Linked DNA regions of Mus musculus. The protein of the gene in region 1 binds, or shares a complex with, the protein of each later gene. Links are inferred from orthologs where the notes say so. Each region holds a gene or a part of one and is shown in the gene's direction. Other genes may lie near its edges. The genes, in order: Pigs, Gpaa1, Pigt and Pigu.

Region 1 (3,559 bases):
AAAAAATGAGAGAGAGAGAGAGAGACAGAGAGAGACAGAGAGAGACAGAGACAGACAGAGAGACAGAGACACATGACTGGGCAATGGTGGCATACGCCATTAACCCCAACACTGAGGAGGCAGAGGCAGGTGGATCTTTTGAGTTCAAGGCCAGCCTGGTCTACAGAATGAGTTCCAGGACAGCCAGGGATACACAGAAAAGCCTTGTCTTGGGAGAAAAAAATGAAAAACAGAAAAAAAAAAAAAAAGCTCACTACAAGCCCAGAGAGTGGTGCAACCTTTTAGCTGATGGTAATAGGCCAGATTCCTTAAGACAGGAACCAGAACTGGGCTTATGTAATGGTGCATGCTTATAATTCCATCATTTGGAAAGCTGAGGCAGGAGAATCTCAAATTTTAGCCTGAGTTATGTCAAGAGGCTATCTCAAAAAAAAAAAAAAAAAAAAAAAAAAGAAAGAAAGAAAAAGAAAGAAAAAGAAAGAAAAAGAAAAGAAGGATAGAGTGCCTTTATGCTTTCTTCACTGAGCCATGGCGCTCCATCCCTCTGTCCCCCCGCACAGGACATGATGAGCTACATTGGGCCTGAGAGGACGGCAGTTGTCCGGGGGCTGATCCACAGGGAAGCCTTCAACATCATCGGCCGTCGCATAGTCCAGGTCGCCCAGGCCATGTCCTTGACGGAGGATGTGCTTGCTGCTGCCTTGGCCGACCACCTGCCCGAGGACAAGTGGAGCTCTGACAAGAGGCGGCCGCTCAAGTCCAGCTTAGGTAGGGCTTGGGCTTTGTTTTAGGAAGGGAGAAGACGTGAGTCCGGCGGAAGATTTACTTATTTATGTGTATGAGTGTGTTGTCTGCGTGCATGCATGTGTACGGCATGCATGCTTGGAGGTCAGAAGAGGGCGTCAGATCCCCAGGGACTGGAGTGAAGATGGTTGTGAGTCACCATGTGGGTGCTGGGAATTGAACCTGGATCTTCTGCAAGAACAAATACTTTAAAGCTCTAAACCATCTCTCCTCCCTCTGTTTTTTCTTTCTTTTTTTTTTTTGGTATTTCAAGACAGGGTTTCTCTGTGTAGCCCTGGCTGTACTGGAACTCACTTTGTAGCCCAGGCTGGACTCGAACTCAGAAATCTGCCTGACTCTGCCTCCCAAGTGCTGGGATTAAAGGCATGCGCCACCATGCCTGGCCTTTTTCTTTTTTTTTTTTTTTGAGACAGGGTTTCCCTGTGTAGCTCTGGCTGTCCTGGAACTTGCTCTATAGATCAGGCTAACCTTGAATTTAAGAGATTTGCCAATGTCTGCCTCTGGGGTGCTGGGATTAAAGGCATGCACTACCACCACCAGCTGTTTTTTGTTGTTTGTTTGTTTGTTTTCTGAGGCAGCACTAGCTGCCCTAGAACTATGTAGATTATGCTGGCCTTAAACTCACAGACCCTCCTGCCTGTTTCTGGAGTGCAATGATTAAAAGCAGGAGTTACTCTGTTTGGCTTCTCCATTTTTTTTCTTTTTTTTTTCTTTTTTTCTTTTTTTAAGGCAGTGTTTCTCTGTGTAGCCCTGGCTATATCAGACCTCACTTCATAGACCAGGCTGACCTCTAACTCAGATCTGCCTGCCTCTGCTTCCCTCATGCTGGGATCAGAGGTGTGTGCCAGCACTGCCTGGCTCCAGTTTTTCCTTAAGGTACTCAGCAGTGTTCCTTATCTCACTCCTGTCCTCTCTTTGGTCCCTCAGTGGCATCCCTATCCCATCCAGATGACGTGGGATGTAGGCTGCCTCTTTCCTTGATGTACTTCTGAATTCCACGACTCCTCTTTTCTGTAGGCTATGAAATCACTTTCAGTTTACTCAACCCAGACCCCAAGTCCCACGATGTCCACTGGGACATTGAGGGAGCTGTCCAGCGCTTTGTGCAGCCTTTCCTGAATCGCCTCAGTGTTGCGGGCAATTTCTCTGTGGACTCTCAGGTAAGACCAGGAATGAGTTATGGAGCCTTTTCTTTTTCTTTCTTTCTTTCTTTCTTTTTTTTTTTTTTTTTTTTTTTTTTTGGTTTTTCGAGACAGGGTTTCTCTGTGTAGCCTAGATGTCCTGGAACTCACTTTGTAGACCAGGTTGGCCTCAAACTCAGAAATCCGCCTGCCTCTGCCTCCTGAGTGCTGGGATTAAAGGCGTGCACCACCAATGCCCAGCACGGAGCCTTTTTAAAGTCTATACATGTTTAGTGTTTATATGGGCATCTGCTCTCCTTCTCTCAGAGCGTGATGATTTGCTTGTGTAGCTGTGTGTAGGGCAGTGTCGTGTGAGCAGGTACGGGGATGTAGCTTGTAGGAAGCACTGTGTGCACCTGTTTATGTCCGTCAGTCCACTGCTCCCTTGAGGGCATGTTCCGGTGTCCTTTCCTTGGTGTCCAGCTCAGGGAGTGTCACCAGAGTGGCTTGGCAGAGCTACTTCCCAAGTACTAACTCAGGAGTTGTACCTACATGTTAAAGCCATCAGCCACCCTTAAGGAAGTTATTTTTAAAAAGCTTTCTGAAATATGTGAACACTGTAACGATAGAGCCATAAAGCGCCCTGCTTGCTTTCAGTGTCACATCCTGTCCCTGTAGGGAAAGCGTGGGGGACTTGATCAGACCCTGCAGGTGGCAAGGAACCAATGGTCTGAAAAGCAGACTCAATTGGGTCTTGTGGACCCAGTCTTTGTTTGTTCCCCTCTTTGACTTTCTGGGAACCTGGTAAAATAATGTGGTTTTCTAAGTATGTATTTAATACATTAGTTTTACCTTGATTCTGTTATTTCCTTTCATACATGCACTTTGCTTGAGCCTTGTCTTTGTCCTGAGTGTATCTTCACACAGTCCCTGCACTCTTAGAGACAGTAGCCTCTAAGTCCGTGTATGGGATGGCCTGTCCCCCTTCTCTCCACAGATCCTATACTATGCCATGCTCGGCGTGAACCCCCGCTTTGACCCAGCCTCATCCAGCTACTCCTTGGCTATGCACAGCCTGCCCCACGTCATCAACCCAGTGGAGTCCCGACTCGGTGAGCTCCTGAGAGGCCTCTGTCAGGCCAGCGTGGGGTTGGGGACGGCTGGGTGCTTTGATGGTTTCGGGTTTGGATGGGACTGGGAAGGTTTAGTGTCTCTGTCTCTCACTCTGTCTCTCTCTCTGTCTCTCTCTGTCTCTCCCTGTCTCTCTCTCTCTCTCTCTCCCTTTCTCTCCCTCCCTTCCCTCTCCCTTCTCCCCCTCCCCTGCTCCTCCCCCTCCCTCTCCCTCTCTTACCTTTCCTTTGGTTGTTTGAGGCAAACTCTCATATACCTCAGAAAGGTAGAAACTTTATTTTGTTCCGGTTTTTGAGACAGGATCTCATGTATCCTAGGCTGGCTTTAAGCTTCCTGTGTAGCCAAGGCTGGCCTTGAACTCCTGACCCTCCTGTGCTGCCTCCCAGTGCTGAGATTATAGGCATGTGCCGCTATACCTAATTTAAAAAAAAAACACAACCCTAATTTTTCTTCCCTGGTACTAGGGATCAGACTCAGGGTCTTGTGCATAGCAGGCAAGTGTC
Region 2 (4,111 bases), on another chromosome or scaffold:
TTAGGCAGGGTTTTTATACTAGTTTGATCAGGGAGCAGGGGTCTCCTGCCTGTCAGTTGCCTTATTTCGCAAAGTTATCTTTTTTTTTTTCCTGTTTTTTTGAGACAGGGTTTCTCTGTGTAGCCCTGGCTGTCCTGGAACTCACTCTGTAGACCAGGCCTGCCTCTGCCTCCTGAGTGCTGGGATTAAAGGCGTGTGCCACCACCGCCCGGCACAAAGAGGTATCTCGATGCACAGGGTTTGGTCAGTGATGAGCAATTTATCTGTAACCGTTGCAATGGTAGGCACTTTCCCTCTATTTCCCTGATTGGCTCTGGCCCAGGGCAGTTTCTTCTTGGACTTGTCGGTGGTATTTCTATTAACCACAGTTCAAACCGGGGACCAACAAACTCAAGTTGGAATCAGCTTACAAATTGGAGTTTCCCCCTTCGCCTATGTTGGTCACTCAAGTCCTCCAGCTAAGGAGTGTGCCATGCTTACACAGCCCATCAGGGACAGGAGCACAAGGCCGAGGTTGCACTCAGCTGGCTATGGGTGTCCATCATTAAGAGATGACATTATGACGTAACGGCAAAATTAGCTATTCAGAATCAGCCAAATAATTTTATGTTTGAGGATCATCACAACATGAGGAACGGTATTAAAGGTCAGAATGTTAAGAACCACTGGACTAATGTCTTCTTTCCTTGGGCCTTTCCTCCCGCTTACTTTGGGCTCTAGGAGGATAGCCACCTTTTGTTGCTTCTTGGCCATCTATCCTTAGGCCCTTACCCCTGCAACCTTTTAGAGAAACTACCTTCATCGCCACCACCACCCATCTCCTCTGGCCACCAACTCGCCCACTGTGCCAGTGAGCCCACTGTCTTAAGGTTCATGACATCCACAGAAATGATTTAGCGTCGAATCCTCAGTTCACACGGGTCCCTCAAGTCATAGCTACAACACTGTCATTCAGTATCTCACTTCAGCAGGCATCAGTCTTTTCTCGTCGTTCTAGCTCTCTACCCACCTGCGTTACACTCCCGAGAACCTTTAGGCAGGCACACTGTCGCTGCTCTGTCGTGAGATCCGCCAGCGTCCCGCCTTCCAGCTGCTCGCCCGCAGCTTCACAGCCCCAGGTTCCAGTTCCGCCCACTGGCCATGACTGCATCCCGTACTTCTCCAGCCTACCTCAGTTTTGAGCACGCGCAGAGCTGGCGACCTCAGTTGTGAGCATGCGCACAATCTGGTTTCCCAACTCCGTCTGCCGCTACCAAGAGTAGTGGCGCGATGGATCCTGGGACCGGAAATTAAGGCAGCACCGGGCGCCGGGTCCGACAGGAACCCTGCTCTTGGAGGTGTCAAGCTGCCGCGAGAGCAGAGCCCCGCGCCCCGCCATGGGTCTCCTGTCGGACCCGGTGCGCCGGCGCGCGCTCGCCCGCATCGTCTTGCGCCTTAACACACCTCTCTGGTGAGGGCGGGCACAGGGGGCGGGACTGGCGGGAACTTGAGCTGCTGTGGCTCCACACGCGCCTACTGCTCCAGGGTCTGCGACCTCTTTGCAAGTGTCACTCAGACACTGAGCTTAGAGCTCTGGTCCCTATCCATCGCTGATCTAGGGTCTTAGATCTTTTTTCCTTTCCGGAGGCAGGATTTCTCTGTGCAGCCCTGGTTGTCCTGGAACTTATTCTGTAGACCAGACTAGCCTCGAACTCAGATCCGCCTGTACCTGCCTCTGCCCCCTGAATGCTGGGATTAACAGCGTGTGCTGCCACTGCCCGGCTTTGGCTCCGGGTTCTTAATGGCTTGGACCATCCCGCTGGACCCTCTGGGTCATGGTGGAAGCCACGAGCTAGCGTTCCAGGTCGGGCTAATTCCGAGCCCACTCTGTACTCTCTCGCAGTGTGCTGAGCTACGTGGCCGGGATCGCCTGGTTTCTGGCGCTGGCTTTTCCGCCGTTAACCCAGCGCACTTACATGTCTGAGAATGCCATGGGCTCCACCATGGTGGAGGAACAGTTTGTAGGTGGAGACCGCGCTCGGAGCTTTGCCCGGGACTTCGCTGCCCACCGCAAGAAGCCGGGGTGAGTGCCTAGCAGCGGGCTGGGGATTTCAGGGGCGGCCGAGACCAGGGAGCTCTACTTAGAGGCTATCTTTTGTGTCTCCAGGGCTCTGCCAGTAGCCTGGCTGGAACGGTCCATGCGATCCGTAGGGCTGGAGGTCTACACCCAGAGCTTCTCCCGCAAACTACCCTTCCCGGATGAGACCCACGAGCGCTATGTATTGAGGGAAAGGGGTGTGCCTGGGAGAAAAGCACATTGGAAGGGTGGCCTGGGTTGGGTGTCTTGTTGAAGTGCCCTGAAACCAAGAAACTCTGGGAGGGATGGTCTGAAGAACTTTAGTGGTGGGCATTGAAGTGCCAGGAAAAAAGACAGGCTTCAGGCTGTCCGCTGGAGGGTCTGCTGAGGCTTTCCCATCAACTCTTTGTGCAGATGGTGTCAGGTACCAACGTGTATGGCATCCTGCGGGCCCCACGTTCTGCCAGTACCGAGTCCCTGGTGCTTACTGTACCCTGTGGTCCAGATGCCACCAATAGCCAGGCTGTGGGGTTGTTGTTGGCACTTGCTGCCCATTTCCGAGGTGAGGCTCTGGGGCTCTGGTCCGGGAGGATTTGACCAATGCCCCAGGCCCTTTGCTGACCCTGCCTTTGGCTTCCAGGGCAGATTTACTGGGCCAAAGATATCATTTTCCTGGTAACAGACCATGATCTTCTGGGCACCGAGGCTTGGCTCGAAGCCTACCATGACATTAATGTTACAGGTAGGTGTAGCCCTAGTCTTGCTCCCCATCTCTTTCAAAGTAAACCGCGGTCCCTTGTGCCCCCTCTAGTGCTCACTGCTTGCTCCTACAGGCATACAGTCATCTCCCCTGCAGGGCAGGGCTGGAGCCATCCAGGCTGCTGTAGCTCTGGAGCTGAGCAGCGACGTGGTCACCAGCCTCGATGTGACAGTGGAGGGACTCAACGGTCAGCTGCCCAACCTTGATCTGCTCAACCTCTTCCAGACCTTCTGCCAGAAAGGGGGGCTGTTGTGTACACTCCAGGGCAAGGTGGGACCACCCGCTTGGGAGCCTGGGGCTCGTGAGAAGGGGTGAGTCTGTCTGATCCTGTCCCCATGCCTCCAAAGCTGCAGCCCCAGGACTGGACGTCACTCGAAGGGCCGTTGCAGGGTTTGCAGACACTGCTACTCATGGTGCTGCGGCAGGCCTCTGGCCGGCCCCACGGCCCCCACGGCCTTTTTCTGCGCTACGGAGTGGAGGCACTAACCCTACGCGGCATCAATAGCTTCCGCCAATACAAGTATGATTTGGCGACAGTGGGCAAGTAAGTTCTCTGGACCCCTTTCCGTGTTCAAGGTCATGTCTAGCTGGGGTGAGAGGGTGGCTGGCCCTGACCTGACTGTGCTCCTGGCAGGGCTCTGGAGGGCATGTTCCGCAAGCTCAACCACCTCCTGGAGCGCCTGCACCAGTCATTCTTCTTCTACCTGCTGCCGGCCCTCTCCCGCTTTGTCTCCATCGGACTCTACATGCCCGCCACGGGCTTCCTGCTCCTAGTCCTTGGACTCAAGATATCCTCCACCCTCGTGCTCGCTACTCACTTGTGGCCAAACTCACTCAGATCCCTTTAACTATAAAGGGGGGATAGTCCTTCATCCTACATATGGTAGGGATAGGGAAGTGAGCCTAAGATCTCCCACCTAGCAAATCACATCCAATGGCTTGTCTGGGTCCTTGACTTGCTCTATGCTCTGGAGCTGTGGATGCAGTTACACCAGGCTGGAGTCAACCCGGAGGAGGCTGGGAAGGCCCCTAGTCCCGGGACTCCACTCTTGCCAACACAGGTGATGCTATACTCTACTGCTCTTAGGATGGGGGTTTTAACATACCCAGCAGTGCTTTGGTATGCGTCCTTGGGGGTTCTCCTATTCCTCTGGCCTAACTCCAAGTACCCATGTGTCCTGCAGGGTGTGGGCCTGGCCTCACTTACGGCACCCCTGCTGATCTCTCAGGCCATGGGTCTGGCCCTCTATTTCCTGCCTGTGCTGGGCCAACATTTAGCTACTCAGCATTTCCCA
Region 3 (4,134 bases), on another chromosome or scaffold:
TGCTTGCACTTCCTCTTTGCTGCAGCCATCCTACTCCTAAATATTCTCCCAAGGGACATGATAACCTAAGTGTGCAAAGCCACTTGTACAGACTATAATCATCCTTGCCTACTATAACCAAAACTACCAAGCACTCCTTTGCCCATGGAGTGTCTCCAGTGGAGAAACTGGCTTACCCACACAATGTTAGCACTGCACAGCAGTAAATAACCTTATACACATGAGAACACGAGGCCAATCAGCACTGTTTCCCTAGAGATGAGGAAAGGATGTAGAGCCAACTCCCATGAAGCTATGGTTTCTGTCTCTAAACCACAATGTGGTTTCAAAATCATTCCTTTCAGGAAAGAACACACAAAACCTCATACTATGCTGTCATTTACATTTAGTCCTAGAACAGATTAATCTATTACAAGAACACTGGTTGCCTCTACAATGTGTTCTGGAGATAGATGTTGACAGGAAAGAGGCATTAGACCATTTTCTGGGACCTTAGGTGGGACTTTAAGTTTAGGGCTTCCCTCCCAATACACATTGCTATGTCGAGTATGAACCCAAGGTCTCATGCCTACTAGGCACTCTGCCACTGAGTTAGTTTCATCCCCAGCCCCAGTTCTTAGGAACATTCTATATCTCCGTAAGATTTGGAGTTACAATATTTTATTAATTAAAACCCAGGTAATTTTATGAGAAAATTTTGAACGAAACTAAATTTTGACAATGCAGAATACCCATGTGTGAAATTTACTCCGTGATGGAATCAATGCTATAATAGATGAGTGGGCTTGTTGGTGTGTACCCATAGCAACATGTTAATGGTGGAATTAATTTACATGGTTGGAGGAACATGTTTAATAGCTGCTAATTCTTTCAATTTTGCCATACACTCTTATTTATTTTATTATATTCTTTTATTAAGACCACAGGGAGGGGGTAGGACAGCTCTGCCCTCACCGTTGCGGGCTAGGTTTTGAGCCAAGTAAATAGAGTCACTGGACGGTTCTACCTCACGCCTGTAATAGCAGCACTTGGTACCGGGATGGCCACACTGCATATCGAGCACTTCCTAGCTGGTGAAAGCACCTATAGGTGCGCGGGCCCTCAAGCCAGCTCTCTTCCTCCGCCACACGCCCACACCCCTTCAGGCCAGGTCGGCAAAATCCACGATCTGTTGACGGACCTCCGTGTCCCTCCGGTAACCTCGGAGTGGTTTCCGGGACGGCGCCGGAAGTCCTCTCTCATCCGGCTTCCTATTGGATGACCGCCTTTGGTGGGCGCGGGCGATGCTGGGAGGCGGAAGCGGCCGCAGGTATGGCGGCTGCCATGCCGCTCGGTTTGCCGTTGCGGTTACTGGTGCTGTTGCTGGTGGGACGGGGCTGCTGTGGCTGCGCGGAGGGCCCACGCGACAGCCTGCGAGAAGAGCTCGTTATCACTCCACTGCCTTCCGGCGACGTGGCCGCCACATTCCAGTTCCGCACGCGTTGGGATTCGGATCTGCAGCGGGAAGGAGGTGAGTTCAGGACCCCAGGAAAATGTCTGCAGCACCTTGCTCAGTTCCTAAAGAGAGCTACTCAGGGGTGGGGCTTGGGTCGCCGCTCACCTGCCTTGCTTTCTTCAGTGTCCCATTACAGGCTCTTCCCTAAAGCCCTGGGACAGCTGATCTCCAAGTACTCCCTGCGGGAGCTCCACCTGTCGTTCACGCAAGGCTTTTGGAGGACGCGATACTGGGGGCCACCCTTCCTGCAGGCTCCGTCAGGTGCAGAGCTCTGGGTCTGGTTCCAAGACACTGTCACCGAGTGAGTTCCTAACTTGACACCTGTCACAGGCCATGGAGGGGGTGTGGCAGGCAAAGTGTTGTCATCTTGTCATTGGCCTTGGGATCTGCTACTCCAGTAGGTAGCGGTCACACCAAGTTAAAACTGATTTTGGAAGTAAGGATTAATATTACAGGGCTGGAGCGATGCCCCAGTCAGTAAAATGCTTGCTACTCAAGCTTGACGACCTGAGTTTCATTTTCCAGAACCTACATTAAAAGTCGGGTTGCTGCTGCCGGCTTCTAGGCCCATAACTGAGGAGGTGGAGACAGGAGGAACAGGACTGCTGGAAGCCAGTATGCCTGAATCAGTGACTTCCAAGATCAGTGACAGAAGTACCCCCCTACACACACACACACACACACACACACAAACAAAGTACAGAGGGAATAAAAGAGACATTGGTTGCTGATTTCTGGCCCTCACAGCTATTTGCATCAGTATGCATGCACATACAACATGAAGAAATTACATTATTATTGAGTGAACATCGTCTCCTGAAAACTTCCAAGTCTGAGGTACTACATGCATTTCTCGAGGCAAAGAGTAGGTGGTTGGTTCCTATTATTGGGATATAAGGTCACAGATAATTGGCAGACTAGGTGTGTTGTTTTTGTTTTTAAGACATTTGTTTGTATTAAAAAAAAACAAACAATACCCATGCCTAACAAAACATTTGTGGGATAGCAGTGGGCTACAGGATGGTCTTTGTGAAATAAAGCAAGAGTTTCACTTTAAAGCATAATCAAGTTTCTAGCTGTTGTCTGTGAACTACAGAAAATCGCCCAGTAGCTGCTGTGATCTTCCTAGAGTAGAATTTTTTCCATGCAGAGATTGCAAACTTATCTCAGCATAGGCCACAAAATACCGATGACAGAGGGAGTTAAAGCATTGGTGAAACCCTGGAGTGAGAATTTAAGGGTGTCTCATTTGCCTCTTAACTACCCTGCAACATCAGTAATGCAGACATTACCAGGTTTAGAGCCCTGATAGGGAGGGTTAGGGTTAAGAGTCTGTGTGACGATCTGAAATAGTCACCACTCAGTTCCTATGGATTGTAACCTTATGACAGTTCTGACTGTCACTTTCAAGAGAGATCAGACTTTTGCATGAGGAAGGACATGTAAATATCAACAAGTAGTTTTAAAGTTTTTGGAAAGCTGTGTAGGTTGGTATTATGCACAGCAGATGTAGCAGGTGCTTAGGGCGATGAGCTGCTGCCACCTAGCCATCGCCTAGAAGGGGCTTAAGTGGGGTCTTGGACTCTCAGAAGCACAACACTACAGACCGTGCTTGAGGTGAGCAGAAAAGGCTCCTTGGGTAAGACCAGATAAGACCTCTCTGGATAAGACCAGAGCAGGACTTTGAAGGCGACAGAACCATGAGCAGAGTGTTCCCAGGCAAGATGGACACTTGAACAAAGACCTGCAGGGCTGCTGAGATGCCCAGAGAGGGCGCTAAGGAGGTAAGGCGAGGCAGGGGCATCCCTGAGCATCATCTGGCTTGTCTCATGGTTGAGATGCAGCTTCACTCTACCATAGACTTGGCAGTCAGCTGTGGCTGTATTAAGGAGGCCACACAGGATTTGGGGTTCCGAGGCTGTAACCCCAGGCCAGTGAGTAGGTTTGTCTCTGTCTAGTGTGGATCTGTAACCACAGGCCAGTGAGTAGGTTTGTCTCTGTCTAGTGTGGATCTGTAACCACAGGCCAGTGAGTAGGTTTGTCTCTGTCTAGTGTGGATAAGTCCTGGAGGGAGCTCAGCAATGTCCTCTCGGGGATCTTCTGTGCATCCCTCAACTTCATCGACGCCACCAATACCGTCACTCCCACCGCCTCCTTCAAACCTCTGGGACTGGCCAATGGTGAGATAGCCCCGGGCCTTTCCTCCTTGTACCCTCCATGTTCGCATCCTTCCCCTTGGGCTCCTCTTCCACAGCGGGGCTAGATGCTAAATGTGGTGGGTGTACAGGTCCCAGGTAGCTTCCTAAGACTGCTGTCTCTGCATTGCTTCCTCCCTGGAGTCCCACCTGGAGGGGGGACCACTTGGCGGTAGTACTAGAGTGGTCCAGCAGTGGGTGGATGAGGTCACCTACATCTCGGAGGGACAGGACCCAGCTCTGTCTCCCTCAGACACTGACGACTACTTCCTGCGCTACGCTGTGCTGCCTCGGGAGGTTGTCTGCACTGAGAACCTCACGCCATGGAAGAAGCTCTTGCCCTGCAGTTCCAAGGTGAGTGAGGACGGGTGGGGGGATTGGAGAGGGCAGATGTGTCCCTCACAGCCTGGCAGCCAGGGTATAGTTAAGGGAATCTGTGCCCTC
Region 4 (3,559 bases), on another chromosome or scaffold:
CATGCCAGGCTCCTAAGGAGAACACTGCTGTGGTTCCATCCCCCTGGTGGTTCCATCCCCCTGGCTCCAGAGCAGCTGACAAAGACCTTCATAAGCAGGCATCTAGCTCTCGTGCAGAAGTCAACCTCTGCTTGTGTCGAGGGGCTGGCTGTTCCAAGGAATGTGCCCCATGCTCTCCTCACCTTTGCTGTGAGACATGTGAAATACCCAGGAGAAAAGCATGGTGGATTAGGAGCTCTGCAGACAGATCCAGGCTCCATCACTGACTTCACTTCTCTGGGAAGGACAGGGGACAAGAATCTCTGCCTAGAAGGCTGGCCTTGGTGTTGTGAGGATCCTCTGAGATGACGCAGGAGAAACTTTGCACAGAGCTCAGCATAGAAAGGGGGCTCAGGAGAGAGGAGCCATGGTAGTTTATTAATTTAAGCCAGTTTTAGCTGTTACTAGTTGTAGGTCCCCAGAATTCTGTTTCAGAGAGAGACATGGTAGCTCTCTGTAATCTTAGCACCTAGGAAGTAGAGGCAAGAGGATCATGAGTTCAAGGCTAGCCTCATCTACATAGTCACTAGGACAGCCTGTTCTACATGAGGCCCTATATCAAAAGAGAATTTTGGCCCCTGAAGAGCTGAAAATGCTGAGTGTAACTCTCGGTGCTCTTGTTTCTCTGACTGTAAACAGTAAGCAAGCCATCAGCCAGCAGGCACTTCCTGTCTTGGGACCTGTCGCAGCGACCTTTGCCTGATTTCTCTTGACAAGCAGTCATTTAGGATTCTAATAAGAAATGCTTAACTTTTTTTTTTTTCAAGACATGGTTTCTCTGTGTACCTTTGGCTGCTCTGAAACTCACTCTGCCTGCCTCTGCCTCCTAAGTCCTGGGAATAAAAGTGTGCACCACCACCACCCTGATAAGGAATGCTAACTTCATTTGCTTCCTTTGGTTCCCGGGGGCATGCTGAAAGCTAGTACAGACAGGAGGAAGCCACTGGTGGGCAATGTCCCTATAAACTGGTGTTTGTCTGGTCTTCCTTGCCACCTCTGGGCATTTGATATCTGTAGTTTCCTGCCCTGCTACTGAAGCCTGGCTCATGCATGCCTTGTGAGTAGTAAGGCAGCCTTTGCCTGAAGGACCCCTAGGGAGTACTTTTGGTTGGTGAGGTAGGATCAGGGGTCTCTAAGGTGGGCCTAGTCCCTGGCTAATCTCTCTGCCTGTTTGTCTTCCCTGCCCTGCTCCAGGGAGCATCCCATCTTCTTCATGTTCATTCAGATTGCCATCATCTCTATCTTCAAGTCCTATCCAACTGTGGGGGATGTGGCCCTCTACATGGCTTTCTTCCCTGTGTGGAACCATCTCTACAGATGTGAGTATTCTGACTTTCCTCACTAGGGATAGATTCAAGTGCAGCTAACTGCTAGGCGAAATAGCTGGGAGAAGGAATTGATATGCATTTACTGGGCACCCATTGCTGGTAGCACCGAGAAAGAGGAGGCCACTGAAGCATGCATGTGCCTCTGTGCCTCCTGGTCCTGTGGTCAGTGACAAAGAACAATCGCTTAGAGCATGTGACTGTGTTCCTGACTGCTGTTGGTCATTTTGTCTTTGCATCAGCTTTGGAGGTAAGTATTTCCTTATACAGATGAGAAAACTGAGGTACAAAAAGATAGAGCCACTTGTTCAAGGTCCTGTGACTGCTAAATAGAAAGACTAGGAATTGGAGCCTAGCTCTCTAGGCCTTGCCCAGTGCTGTCCAACCTCGCTGTTTGTAATGATGACCGTGTCTAGTCTGTATTCTAATAGAGTGGCTACTAATATTATACAGAAACTAAGTTTTTTCTTTCTTTTCTCCTCTATTTCCAGCTTTGTGGCATAGGGTTTCATATTGCCCAAACTGGCCTTAAGCTCACTGTATAGCTGAAGATTACCTTGAACTCCTGATCCTTCTGCCTTCACCTCTCAGATCCAGGTTTACTGGTGTATACTGTCATGGACAGATTTTTTTCCATTAGTTTATTTGTTTGTTTGTTTGAGACAGATCCTAGACTGTAGCCAAGGCTATCCTGAAACTCACTATATAGCCTAGGCTGTCCTAAAATTAGAAGAAGTCATCCTATCTTAACTTCCTGAATACTGAGACTACAAAGAAGAGCCATGGTGTCAGTAGAAACTGAAATTCTTGTTTAAAATTAAATGTATGAAGCTACATGTGACCAAGCTTCTTATTGGACAGTGGTCAAGCTTCTTATTGAACAAGTGCAACTGTAGCCTTTGGCTATGAACATAGGACTTCCTGCTTCCTATAAAGACCCTTCTCAATTCTACCCATTTCTCCCGAGGCTCCTGTAGGGTAAGATATCCTTACACCCAACATGGATTCTAACACAAAAGAATCAGCAAATGACAGGGCAGTGTGGCACACAACTTTAATGCTAGTACTTGGGAGGCAGAGGCAGGAGGATCTCTGAGTTTGAGGCCAGCCTGTTCAGCATAGTGAAGCCAAGACTACACAGAGAAACCTTGTCTTGAAAAACAACAACAATCGAAAAAGGGGGGAAAAGAGTCTGCAAATGTATGTAGAAGGCTGCTGAAGCCTCCCCTCCCCGTGAGGGAAGCAGAGCCCAGGTACCTTCCTGGTTCTCTCAAGGAGCTGCGATATGCAGCCAAGCGTCAGAAGCGAACTCCTAGAGCAAGCTGCCCAAGAAGTTAGTTCCTGTTGTTTTGTCTGGGTGTCAAGCAGGAAGTGAAACTGACCAGCTGTGAGTAGGAAACCTACCTGTGAGTGTAGCCCCGGAGTGAAGGTAAACAGTGAAGTGGGCAGACCACGCCCAGGCCAGGTGTGTCTCTCAGGCCTGGTTAGAATGGTGACCAATCTGAGCTGACTGAGAGGAGGTGGCATCTTCTGCTTGTGACATCCTCATTTCACAGATAAGAATCACCCAGTGATGAATCACAGGCAATTGGAATATATAGACATGCCTTGGTCTGTGGGAGGGTAGGGCTTCAGGCACTGGTCTTTCCCTGTCCCAACCAGGTTGTTTTCGTTAGCTGTCCGTCCTAAAGAGGGCATTGCCCTTCCTCAGAGGCGTTGTGTAGCATTCTCACGTTGCTGAATTCAGTTTGTAGACAGACAGACTACAGCTTGAGTCTACACTCTGCCTTTCCCAGGCAGCTTCTTTAGCCTTTCTGCGCCTCTGAGTTTTCCTTTTCCGTCCATGAGATGAAGAGAGTAAGTGGAGCTTTCTGGCATGGATCTATAACCCTAACACTTAAGAGGCTGAAGCGGGAGGATAGCAAGTTTGAGGTTAGCCAAGGCTACAAAAGGGAATTCCAGGCCATATGAGACCTGACTCAAAAAAAAAAAAAGTATTTTTCATGGATTTTTTTGGGGGTGTTTTTGTTTTTTGGGTTTTTTTGTTTGTTTGGTTGGTTGGTTGGTTTGGTTTTTCGAGACAGAGTTTCTCTGTGTATCCCTGGCTGTCCTGGAACTCGCTCTGTAGACCAGGCTGCCTCCCAAGTGCTGGGGTTAAAGGCGTGCACCACCACTGCACGGCATGGATATTTTTT

Evidence for each region.
Region 2: Pigs (region 1) and Gpaa1 share a complex: the UniProt entries of both Homo sapiens proteins name them as parts of the GPI-anchor transamidase complex. The link is inferred for Mus musculus from reciprocal best matches to the Homo sapiens genes PIGS and GPAA1.
Region 3: the proteins of Pigs (region 1) and Pigt are in contact, whole or in part, in a cryo-EM structure (PDB 8IMY), measured with the Homo sapiens proteins. The link is inferred for Mus musculus from reciprocal best matches to the Homo sapiens genes PIGS and PIGT. Residues at the interface, in NP_149975.1 of Homo sapiens: Thr9, Glu12, Val13, Gly16, Ala19, Ala20, Phe23, Thr230, Pro238, Lys239, Tyr244, Ile247, Glu248, Val251, Gln256, Val270, Asp271, Ser272, Gln273, Ile274, Tyr276, Tyr277, Met279, Ser309, Arg310, Ser313, Ser314, Ala315, Ala316, Phe513; in NP_057021.2 of Homo sapiens: Pro26, Arg27, Val63, Ser64, His65, Tyr66, Arg67, Lys71, Gln75, Lys79, Tyr80, Val133, Gly136, Lys191, Leu193, Pro194, Cys195, Ser196, Lys198, Ala199, Glu270, Pro271, Pro273, Leu274, Tyr526, Ile529, Cys530, Cys533, Val536, Ala537.
Region 4: the proteins of Pigs (region 1) and Pigu are in contact, whole or in part, in a cryo-EM structure (PDB 8IMX), measured with the Homo sapiens proteins. The link is inferred for Mus musculus from reciprocal best matches to the Homo sapiens genes PIGS and PIGU. Residues at the interface, in NP_149975.1 of Homo sapiens: Ala4, Gly5, Ala8, Thr9, Glu12, Arg15, Arg18, Ala19, Phe22, Phe23, Val26, Leu30, Leu34, Trp35, Thr38, Thr39, Leu510, Leu511, Phe513, Ile521, Tyr522, Leu525, Phe526; in NP_536724.1 of Homo sapiens: Gln118, Phe282, Glu283, His284, Phe285, Leu287, Phe288, Phe289, Cys291, Val292, Phe293, Ile295, Phe299, Tyr300, Ile302, Pro303, Ile306, Lys307, Lys309, Glu310, Thr417, His418.

What each region holds. Positions count from the first base shown.
Region 1 is NC_000077.6:78,334,867-78,338,425, forward strand, and holds part of Pigs (GPI transamidase component PIG-S), read left to right. Parts: intron 1-560; coding exon 561-768; intron 769-1,821; coding exon 1,822-1,964; intron 1,965-2,922; coding exon 2,923-3,037; intron 3,038-3,559. UniProt on the Homo sapiens protein: Component of the glycosylphosphatidylinositol-anchor (GPI-anchor) transamidase (GPI-T) complex that catalyzes the formation of the linkage between a proprotein and a GPI-anchor and participates in GPI anchored protein biosynthesis.
Region 2 is NC_000081.6:76,330,014-76,334,124, forward strand, and holds the start of Gpaa1 (glycosylphosphatidylinositol anchor attachment 1 protein), read left to right. Parts: upstream 1-1,280; 5' UTR 1,281-1,376; coding exon 1,377-1,450; intron 1,451-1,882; coding exon 1,883-2,062; intron 2,063-2,146; coding exon 2,147-2,258; exon of another isoform or gene 2,259-2,274; intron 2,275-2,470; coding exon 2,471-2,618; intron 2,619-2,696; coding exon 2,697-2,798; intron 2,799-2,889; coding exon 2,890-3,086; exon of another isoform or gene 3,087-3,151; coding exon of another isoform or gene 3,152-3,163; coding exon 3,164-3,360; intron 3,361-3,450; coding exon 3,451-3,604; intron 3,605-3,781; coding exon 3,782-3,877; intron 3,878-4,000; coding exon 4,001-4,111. UniProt on the Homo sapiens protein: Component of the glycosylphosphatidylinositol-anchor (GPI-anchor) transamidase (GPI-T) complex that catalyzes the formation of the linkage between a proprotein and a GPI-anchor and participates in GPI anchored protein biosynthesis. Binds GPI-anchor.
Region 3 is NC_000068.7:164,496,248-164,500,381, forward strand, and holds the start of Pigt (GPI transamidase component PIG-T isoform 1 precursor), read left to right. Parts: upstream 1-1,311; coding exon 1,312-1,510; intron 1,511-1,618; coding exon 1,619-1,796; intron 1,797-2,241; exon of another isoform or gene 2,242-3,437; intron 3,438-3,484; exon of another isoform or gene 3,485-3,547; coding exon 3,548-3,675; intron 3,676-3,834; coding exon of another isoform or gene 3,835-3,943; coding exon 3,944-4,044; intron 4,045-4,134. UniProt on the Homo sapiens protein: Component of the glycosylphosphatidylinositol-anchor (GPI-anchor) transamidase (GPI-T) complex that catalyzes the formation of the linkage between a proprotein and a GPI-anchor and participates in GPI anchored protein biosynthesis.
Region 4 is NC_000068.7:155,294,882-155,298,440, reverse strand, and holds part of Pigu (phosphatidylinositol glycan anchor biosynthesis class U protein precursor), read left to right. Parts: intron 1-1,233; coding exon 1,234-1,358; intron 1,359-3,559. UniProt on the Homo sapiens protein: Component of the glycosylphosphatidylinositol-anchor (GPI-anchor) transamidase (GPI-T) complex that catalyzes the formation of the linkage between a proprotein and a GPI-anchor and participates in GPI anchored protein biosynthesis.